Arabidopsis thaliana: one gene and its partner. Each later gene encodes a partner of the first gene's protein in a complex. Each region holds a gene or a part of one and is shown on either strand. Other genes may lie near its edges. The genes, in order: AT3G52730 and AT5G13430. A codon is read from its position in the direction of its gene.

What was found.
Region 2: the proteins of AT3G52730 (region 1) and AT5G13430 are in contact, whole or in part, in a cryo-EM structure (PDB 8BEL), measured with the Arabidopsis thaliana proteins. Residues at the interface, in NP_190841.1 of Arabidopsis thaliana: Phe13, Glu14, Phe16, Tyr17, Met21, Tyr27, Phe30, Ile31, Gly34, Ala35, Glu39; in NP_568288.1 of Arabidopsis thaliana: Arg109 (codon at 1,486), Ala110 (codon at 1,483), Phe111 (codon at 1,480), Tyr113 (codon at 1,474), Phe114 (codon at 1,471), Leu116 (codon at 1,465), Ser117 (codon at 1,462), Arg120 (codon at 1,453), Phe121 (codon at 1,450), Ala124 (codon at 1,441), Ser125 (codon at 1,438), Arg128 (codon at 1,429).

The regions. Positions count from the first base shown.
Region 1 is NC_003074.8:19,542,102-19,546,250, forward strand, and holds AT3G52730 (ubiquinol-cytochrome C reductase UQCRX/QCR9-like family protein), read right to left. Parts: upstream 2,210-4,149; 5' UTR 2,067-2,209; coding exon 1,947-2,066; intron 1,646-1,946; coding exon 1,526-1,645; 3' UTR 1,168-1,525; intron 1,096-1,167; coding exon of another isoform or gene 1,045-1,095; 3' UTR 718-1,044; downstream 1-717. UniProt on the Arabidopsis thaliana protein: Component of the ubiquinol-cytochrome c oxidoreductase, a multisubunit transmembrane complex that is part of the mitochondrial electron transport chain which drives oxidative phosphorylation.
Region 2 is NC_003076.8:4,304,423-4,309,510, forward strand, and holds AT5G13430 (Ubiquinol-cytochrome C reductase iron-sulfur subunit), read right to left. Parts: upstream 3,149-5,088; 5' UTR 2,978-3,148; coding exon 2,803-2,977; intron 1,636-2,802; coding exon 992-1,635; 3' UTR 684-991; downstream 1-683. Other genes in the region: AT5G13440 (Ubiquinol-cytochrome C reductase iron-sulfur subunit), read right to left, coding at 4,009-4,652. UniProt on the Arabidopsis thaliana protein: Component of the ubiquinol-cytochrome c oxidoreductase, a multisubunit transmembrane complex that is part of the mitochondrial electron transport chain which drives oxidative phosphorylation.

The DNA of each region.
Region 1 (4,149 bases):
TTTCACTATTCTTAATATATAAACTGTTTATTTAAAAGAGCATTTCATTTAGAGAAATGAAAAAAAAAAAAAAAAGAGAGGCAATTCTCAGAAAACGTAAAAGAAAAAGTGAAACATGTGATGTGATGATCAGGTAGGGGCGCAGAACATAACATAACGTCTCAAGACAAAATGTTTTCGGAATATTCATTTGTCCATATTCCGACTCCGCGAACATCACATTTGCGCTTCCTACTACGATTTCTAAATCTCTTGTCGCAACAAACAAAATGCATTATGCGAATCTATGGATGGATAATTCCATTTGAAAGATATGTATTGATTGGTTTGCACGATGTTGATCGTCTCTACATGCATGGCCTTTCGAAAGTAGTGGTGCAAGTTATGTGATTTATGATAAAAGAGATCGTCAAAATCTAATCTTGAACTTTTGCCCCACAGCTTAGTGGAAGTCTTTCAGCTATGTGCACGAAATCGAACCAATGTGGTTTTGTCGGTTTAATTCCCACTTAATTCTGTAAATTCAAGAACGATGATGCTCTATCGACAGTGACTTCTCTGGTTATTCTTCAAAGAATTCGTATAATCATTAATCTTCTTTCTTTTTTGGGATCCAACATTTGAGTAAACTGATTGAAAAATCCTTCCAAATTTGACCCTTGGCAAACAAATGGAAATCTCCATGATTACTATTTCTCGAAGATGGATGAAATTAGACCTCAGAATATGGGCACTGCATATTAAAGCGACGCTTCAAGAACCCAAAAGTGAAGAAAAGGACGATTCACAAATGGGCGTTTTAATGGACTTGCTTTTAATAAGGGACAAATACTTGTAATGCCAAATGACGATTTATGATAATGTTATCATATTCCACAATGCAAAAATTCAAGTAATCAGAACCAGATAGCTTTAGGTGAAATATGAATCATCCCAATGATTTTATATTTATTCAACAAAGAAAGAGAGACGTTGGAATGCAAAACAACATGGAAATTTCCAATTCTTGCTTTTGGTCTGAAGAGAATTCAAAAAGAAGAAAGCTCATTCCTCTACTGGCCTTTGACCCAACACAGAGATGTCTTCATATCGTTTCTGCGCCATGACAAGAAAATCATTGTGAATACGAATATAACCATTCTCTTTCAGACTTTCACAGATACTCACACAAGGCAGAAAAATCAGGATGTCGAAGGTAGAGGGGGAACTATACACATTCCAATAGAAGCTAGAAAAGGTGAATCAGGCATCAATAGATTTTCGAAAAGCATTCACCTATTAGCTAATAACACTAACAACAAGCAGAGATTACAGAAGATGATTACGACGATGACATGAAACCAAAGAAGTGTGTGTAGAAAAATGTGATCATTCCATATCTCAAGATGGGCAATAAAGAGAATGAAGAAACAGTTATTACCATCTAGACTCTCTAGTTCAAATGACAGACAAACATTAACATCACCAATACTAAACATTTCCGAAACAAAATGCAGAACTTCGAATCAAAAGAGTAACAAAAAAATCATTCATCGTCAACATATTTAGGCATCAGATTGCATAAAACATGATTCAGAATACAAGAAAATAAACATACCCCAACATTGTTGCGTTCCCAGAGCTTATGAACACCGTAATCCACAGCCTGCAACCACAGATTTTAACATTTCATGAAAACTCCATTGTCTGTTCATGTAAACCTCTTCACATATAAGACCCCAAAAAAAACAACTTATCACCAGATTCTTCTCACAAAAACTATAATCTCCAGCTCTCTATTGTAGATTGATTAACCTCTCCAACGAAATTTCTTCACTAAGATTATCATTTGACAACACCAAAATCCCCAATTTCGTTCCAATCAAACCATACACACAAAAACCAGATCCGGTACAATACGAACCCTAATAAGCTATAACACAACCAAAAAGGCTCTGATCTCTTACCCGTTCACCGAAAAATGCGCCGGCGATGATGAAAGTGACGTAGACGGAATTACGGCGCATGATAAGTTTGTAAAAGCCTTCGAAAGCGCCTTTCTGATTTCTCCGAGCAGCGTACTCCATGATTGATTGGTTGTTTTCAGGTATCTGATCTCTCTACGTATTTTAGGGTTAGAGAAAGCGATCTACGACAATGGCGAGAGCGAAGAAGAGAGACGATGAGATTTTTCGCAACTAATCAGAAATGATTCTCTTTTGACTAGTTCGTATCTAGAAAGGCCATTTGGGCCTCAATAGTTCGGCCTCGTAGCCCATTTATTTTAACGGACCCAGTACGGCCCTAAATGTTAAGCCCATTTTGACACCCCTAACATTAGCAGAACAATCTGAGTTTTGGTTTGTCCCAAATCCCCAAAGAAATTCAGGCCCAAAATAATTTATTCGAATAAGTAGTTTTGATTGGGTATTTGAATATTTTTTTGAATGTTTGTATATTTTGGAGAAGTATATATTCCTATTATAAGATTTTTTTATTTTTTTTGCTAAGAAATATTATAAGATGTTATTCGAGAATGAGTATATATCCCTGTTCATTGAAATAAGACATCAAATCTCTTTTATCTATATTCAAAGGATTTTCTTGATACAAAGAAGGAAATCAAATTCTAGCAAAGAAAAATTAAAGGTATGATTTTTCTTTAACAAATCTACAAATTCTTTGGTTTGATATGAAGGAAAGATATGATCATCAGAAAACAGTGATTTTGTTTAAAGCTCGTTATATATGATTGGATTCATATGAGAATTCAAGTATGTAAGCGAGTATAACTCAGTCTTGTTTAAATTATTTTCATATTGAAATTATGTGGAGAGAAAATCATATGCAAATAAGTTAGAAAATCATGGATCCACATAATTCCAATTTGAAAGTGATGAGCTCTATTCAGTTATAGACTTGAAGTCTTGTAATCTCTTATGAATCTAATCATAGCGAGCTTTAGGTAATATCACAGTTTTCTATGATCATACCTTTACTTTAAATCATTCCAAAGTATTTGTGGATCTTCCACACTCACGTACTCATTCTTGGGGGATTTTCATGGAGGTAATGTCAAATGAATTCATAGCTTTCGATTTCTCTTTGCTTTGAGTTTGATTTTTTTTTTCTGATTGTATTAGGAAAATCTTTTAAATCTAGAGAAAGGAGAAAAGAGATAGAAGATTTCATGTTTTATTCTGATGAATAAGGGTTTTTTAAATATGAGTTCAAAGAAAGGGTTTTACTTGGTGACAAAGTAAAATTTGGAGTATAAACACTTCTAAAAGATGGACTTTATAATGGACATTCATCTATTATTAATAACAATGTTATGTATAGTGGGGTTTTTTAACGGGCAAACATCTTTTGGGTATTTGAGTAATTTACATATCTAAAATCATATTTCACGAGCAAGTATTTTAAAATACTTTGACTTAGGTATTTTGGTACCCATAAGCAATTTTTCACATAAGAACTCAAATATGTGTGTGAACTGAAAGTAATAACTAACCAAGGTCGTCGTTTCTAGATTCCTAAGTAAATAACTAATCAAGATTTCTTTTCAATAAGTCCGCTCTGATCTCTTTAATCGCGTTGTTACATAGTTACATGTCTAACTCATGGCACAGAGAGAGATGCCAAATAAAAGGGATAAATGTTGAATTGGACTTATAAGAAGCTAAGAACATGATTGGGCATGTTTGGGCACATGCAAAAGGAGCATTAGGAAAACGGGCAAATGTCACATTCACAATTTGATATTCTGAAGAAAGAAAAACTGCTGATTCAAAATCTTGAGGTTTTTAACAAAAGAATCCAAAAGAGCGAACCATATTCTAAAATTTAGAGCGGACACATTGCAAATATTGAACTTTGAGAATGAGGATATTCGCTTCCCTTCAGATTTATGAACTACAAATATGTATATTTATACTTATATACATTACTCAAATCTTACTTTCCTTATATCTGAAAAATGCAATAAAATTTCTAGTACTGATTATAATTTCTATTCGAATTTTTTCTTTTTAATTTTAGTTTTGATATCTTTCTAAACTTTTAAAAATTTTCCTTAAAACTTTTTCTAGATATCTATCTTTTCCCTGGAATATTAGATATTCTGATAGTTGTAGAGTATAGATGATATGGACGGATCGAATCAAAAGT
Region 2 (5,088 bases), on another chromosome or scaffold:
ATGTTAAAACAATAAATAGTTATATACTAGATAACAAATTTATTTAATTTAGATAAATGTGATTTTTTACATCAGATGGTTTTAATAAACTTTCTCTAATGTATGATTAATCAGTCTGAAATTAGAAAACAATGAATAAAATAATAAGAGATAGAGCGGTGTCTTATGATAAACACGAGAGGTTGCTTAGTGAGGACCTTTGGCTTGTAATTAGTGTGTAATGGCCGTTGTTAGTTTGCAAGGGTCGGAGAAGTCACTTCCCATATCCCAAAAGGAAAACAACTTACAAGAGATAAGTCACTTCCCATATAGTTCATGGCCGTTGTTGGTGACCAAAACAAACAAGATTTTAACATTTTCATCTCCCACAATGGTTTTTACCCAAATCAAACTTTGGCTTTTGTGTGTCAAACATTTTTTCTTAACTAAAAAAGATTAAACAGAATAAAATATTATGTTTTTGTGTTCTTAGCCAATCTAGAAAAAATCTAGCTATGCCACTTTTGGATGATTGAATATTCATTCACGGGATGTCTTACGAATACAGTTTGAACTTATTCGGTTATCTTCCTGTAAACTATCAATCAAAGCTGATATATTACCTTTTGTTGTTTGTTTCTACGTTGGTTTTTCTCATACCTTTAGTTTTTCTTTTATGAACGTTGAGATACTATCGAAACTCAAATGTAAATACAACTTTTTAATTGGAATGACGATGTTTAGAATTATGAGATACGAAAGGAATCTCACTCATACATAGGACAAATAGGCATGTTAAATAATAAACACAGACTATGAACATAGTCGTCTTTTACTAGCGATGGATAAACGAAGATTGAGTATACTTCAAACAAAAATCACAAGTTTGTATTATTCAGCAAAAACAAGTCAATCTTGCTCTAACATGCCGGAAAATATTAATTAAAAGAAAAAAAGAACAAGTGAAGATCATCATTCAGATCCAGACTCTTGACTGTTGTGCTTTTATTAATCAACCGATGAGTAACTTATTCTCTTCCAGGAAGCTGTAGGTTGGTACTTCCAGGTTGTATGGTGCAGGACCTTTCCTAATTCTTCCAGATATATCGTAATGTGATCCGTGACACGGACAAAACCAACCACCATAATCACCAGCATTAGGCAAGGGGATGCACCCCAAATGAGTGCACACTCCAACAACCACTAACCATTCTGGATTCTTGACCCTAACCGAGTCTTCTTGTGGGTCCCTCAGGGATCCAACATCCACACTATTGGCCAGCTTGATGTCATCTTCTGTTCTTCGCCTGATGAAGACGGGCTTTCCACGCCACTTGACTGTCACGGTAGTTCCTGGTTCTATGCTCCCTAGGTCAACCTCAAGGGATGCAAGGGCAAGGACATCTTTACTTGCAGACATGCTCACAATAAGCTTCAAAACAAGCAGGCGGAGGACAGAGGCATAAACAAACCTCCCACCCGACAAGACAAAATAGGCGAATGCACGCTTGCTAGGGTCACCAGGTGGGTAACGCTCATGGTTATGGTCATCATAGACAATCTTTGAGTTAGGCGTTTTGACAGCTTCGACTGTGGCTGGGACTTCTGAACCAAAACCTATCTCATTTCCTTGAGCAAGGACTTGAGAAGAGAAGCCTGAAAATAGCATGAAACATTAATATTTCACATCAAAGGCAAACTTTATACTTGGTCAAGTGTTCTACAAGAATAAGAATAAGCCACAGGACTACCACAATCAAGATGTGACCATTGATGTATAATCTTCTAAGGAAAAACAAAAGTACATAAAACGGATTCCATGAAGTATGAGATCCATCCAAACAATTCAAACCATCGTATCAAACTCGGGGAGTGGAAACTTAAATACGATAATCTCCATAAAAAAAACAAGAGAACAAATTCAATGATCAACATGGAAACAGAAGAACAAAAAATTGGAATCTAGAAGCCAATGTGAATCACACTATGGATAACGCATTCCAATGATTTACAAGCAAGGAGCTTTAGTCATCAACCAAAGAATTACATCTAAACAGGTCAATCCATAATCCATCAATAAACTCAAATGTTCATTTCCTTCTGGACGAAAGAATGAATCAGAGAAGCCAAGTATACCAAATTCATCCAAACAAATCAATAATAACAAATTCAGTGAAACCTTAAATACTAAAACCAACGTAATAAACCAAGAGAAAAAAATATATTGATCAGATGCTGTATATTACAGAAACGCTTAAAACACAACAAAATTTCCAATGCTAAGAACAAACAAAGCTCTTTGGTTAAGAAAACATAAATTTCAGAATGCAAGTTCCTCAGCATGCCTTTAAACAGCTATAAATCCTACAAACATAGTATACAGTTAAAACATCCATGTCCCTAACAATGAAGAACTCAAAAGGATTGATACACAAGATCAAATTTCAAAAACCAAGAAGCCAGTGGTGAATCATACTATGATTAACGCACCGAAAAGAGGAAACTTTCCTAGTAAAACAAAGGATTATCTCAGAACTGAACAATCCACACGAAAGAAGTAATCATCAAATGCAATACAAATCCAGCAAGGAGAAGAATGTAGCCAAATGGTACATCAAGCTCATGGAATTCAAATCAGATGACACGTTTGTTCCCACGGATCATTGCAGATACAATACTAGAAATCTCAATCATTCCCGTGAATCATACAACCAAAAAAAGAAGACCTTTTCAAAAATCAATCAATCAAATAAAACTGCAAAGAACCACCGAAAATGAAAAATCAATGTAGAGAGAGAGGGAAAGGGTTATAAATCGGCAAACCTCTGATAAGGCTACGGTGGTAAGATGAGAGATCTGCAGAGGGGAGGGATCTGGGAGCTGAAGAGGAGTCGCCGCCACCATCGGAAAGGGTATGGTCACGGGAGACGACGAAGGAGGTCGCAGTCGAAGATCTCTGCGAGACAGAGAAAAGCCTCCTCCCTGCTACACGCAGCATCTCTCAGCTCAAATGTGAATCTAGGGTTTCGCTCTAGCTGAACAGAGAAATCCTCAGGTTTGGGACGGCCGATGCAAAACAAAACATAAGAGACTACTTACTAGTAAGTCCCTTAAAAATTGTCTTTGAGAAAAGGTCAATTTGTTTTGTTTTTTTTGGTTTTTGCGTATTACTTGATATTTTTTTACTTCAGGATTTTGATGGCATGGTTTTTTTTCTAATTTTAATTAATAAAATCTTTTGGTTTTACGATATAATTTTTTTGTGTGTGTGTATTTGTAAGATAAATTATTTTATTTGTATAAAAATCGTAATTTTTAATAATAATAATAGGGGGTCTATACTTGGTAAAGGATATATTTTGTTGTTGTAATGTTTAAACAAGATTTCCAACAAAAAGACTGTTTTACATCTGTGTGAACTTTTCAATACTAGAAGAAAGAGCTAGAAGGACATCATCAAAGAAGTAGTCATCGATGAAAACAATCTGAACAAGAAAATTAGGCTAAGATCCACAACCAGAATATGACATCTTTCATCAAAGTAGTAGTCTCGAGGTTCACAATTGGATTTCTCACTATGGAAGAGAAGGTTTATGGCTTAGTTGAGAATTGAAGGTCTTCGAAATGTCGTCTCCAGTAAGAACACGAAAGTTTTATAACACACCTTGAACCTTACCAAGTTTTTGTCTCAATTGTGATAATGGCTACAGACTTTAAGGAAAGGAAACTCTCTTACAAACGATATGTTACAAAATTACAAACATAAGAAAAATAGGGATGATACTATTCAAAACTCTTTTCAAATAATAAACAGAGACTATGAAGTATGAACAATGTATTTTCACCAGATGAGACAGATACTAAGTCATACAATGACAAGTTTGTATTATTCAGCAAAACAAGCCAATTTTTGCTGAGCCCAAAGTGTGAGGAAAGCGAACTTGCACGCTAAAATGCCGGAAAATATAAAAACAAAAACAGATTTAAGATCATCCAGACCATGACACTCGGACTGTTGTGCTTTATTCATTAACCAATGAGTAATTTATTCTCTTCCAAGAAGCTGTAGGTCGGTACTTCCAGGTTGTATGGTGCAGGACCTTTCCTAATTCTTCCAGATATATCGTAATGTGATCCGTGACACGGACAAAACCAACCACCATAATCACCAGCATTAGGCAAGGGGATGCACCCCAAATGAGTGCATACTCCAACCACGATCAACCATTCTGGATTCTTGACTCTAACCGAGTCTTCTTGTGGGTCCCTCAGGGATCCAACATCCACACTATTGGCCAGCTTGATGTCATCTTCTGTTCTTCGCCTGATGAAGACGGGCTTTCCACGCCACTTGACTGTCACGGTAGTTCCTGGTTCTATGCTCCCTAGGTCAACCTCGAGGGATGCAAGGGCAAGGACATCTTTACTTGCAGACATGCTCACAATAAGCTTCAGAACAAGCAGGCGGAGAACAGAGGCATAAACAAACCTTCCACCCGACAAGACAAAATAGGCGAATGCCCGCTTGCTAGGGTCACCAGGTGGGTAACGCTCATGGTTATGGTCGTCATAGACAATCTTTGAGTTAGGTGTTTTGACAGCTTCGACTGTGGCTGGGACTTCCGAACCAAAACCTATCTCATTTCCCTGAGTAATGACTTGAGAAGCAAAACCTGAAAATAGCATGAAACATTAATATTTCACATCAAGGGCAAACTTTATACTTGGTCAAGTGTTCAACAACACCAAGTATTAAGCAAAAATATTTTCAAGAGATAACACAGAAGAAAGGAATAACACTAGCAAACATTTAACATTAATGCATAGAATAACATAAGATTATAAAAACGGATTCCAAGAGATAACAGAAGGTGTCATCCAAACAATTTTCTACCATGATATCAAATTCAGTGAAAACTAAACTAATCTATCTAACGCAAGATCCAAGGAAGGAACTTCAATGATCATAAATGCTTAAAACATAAGAAAACTCCTAAGATAAGATTGCAAACATAGCCCTTTTGGTTAAAGATATGGAATTCCAGATTCGTTTACTGATGCAAGTATCTTATATGATGTGCCCAAAGACGATAAAACATCCATTTCCAT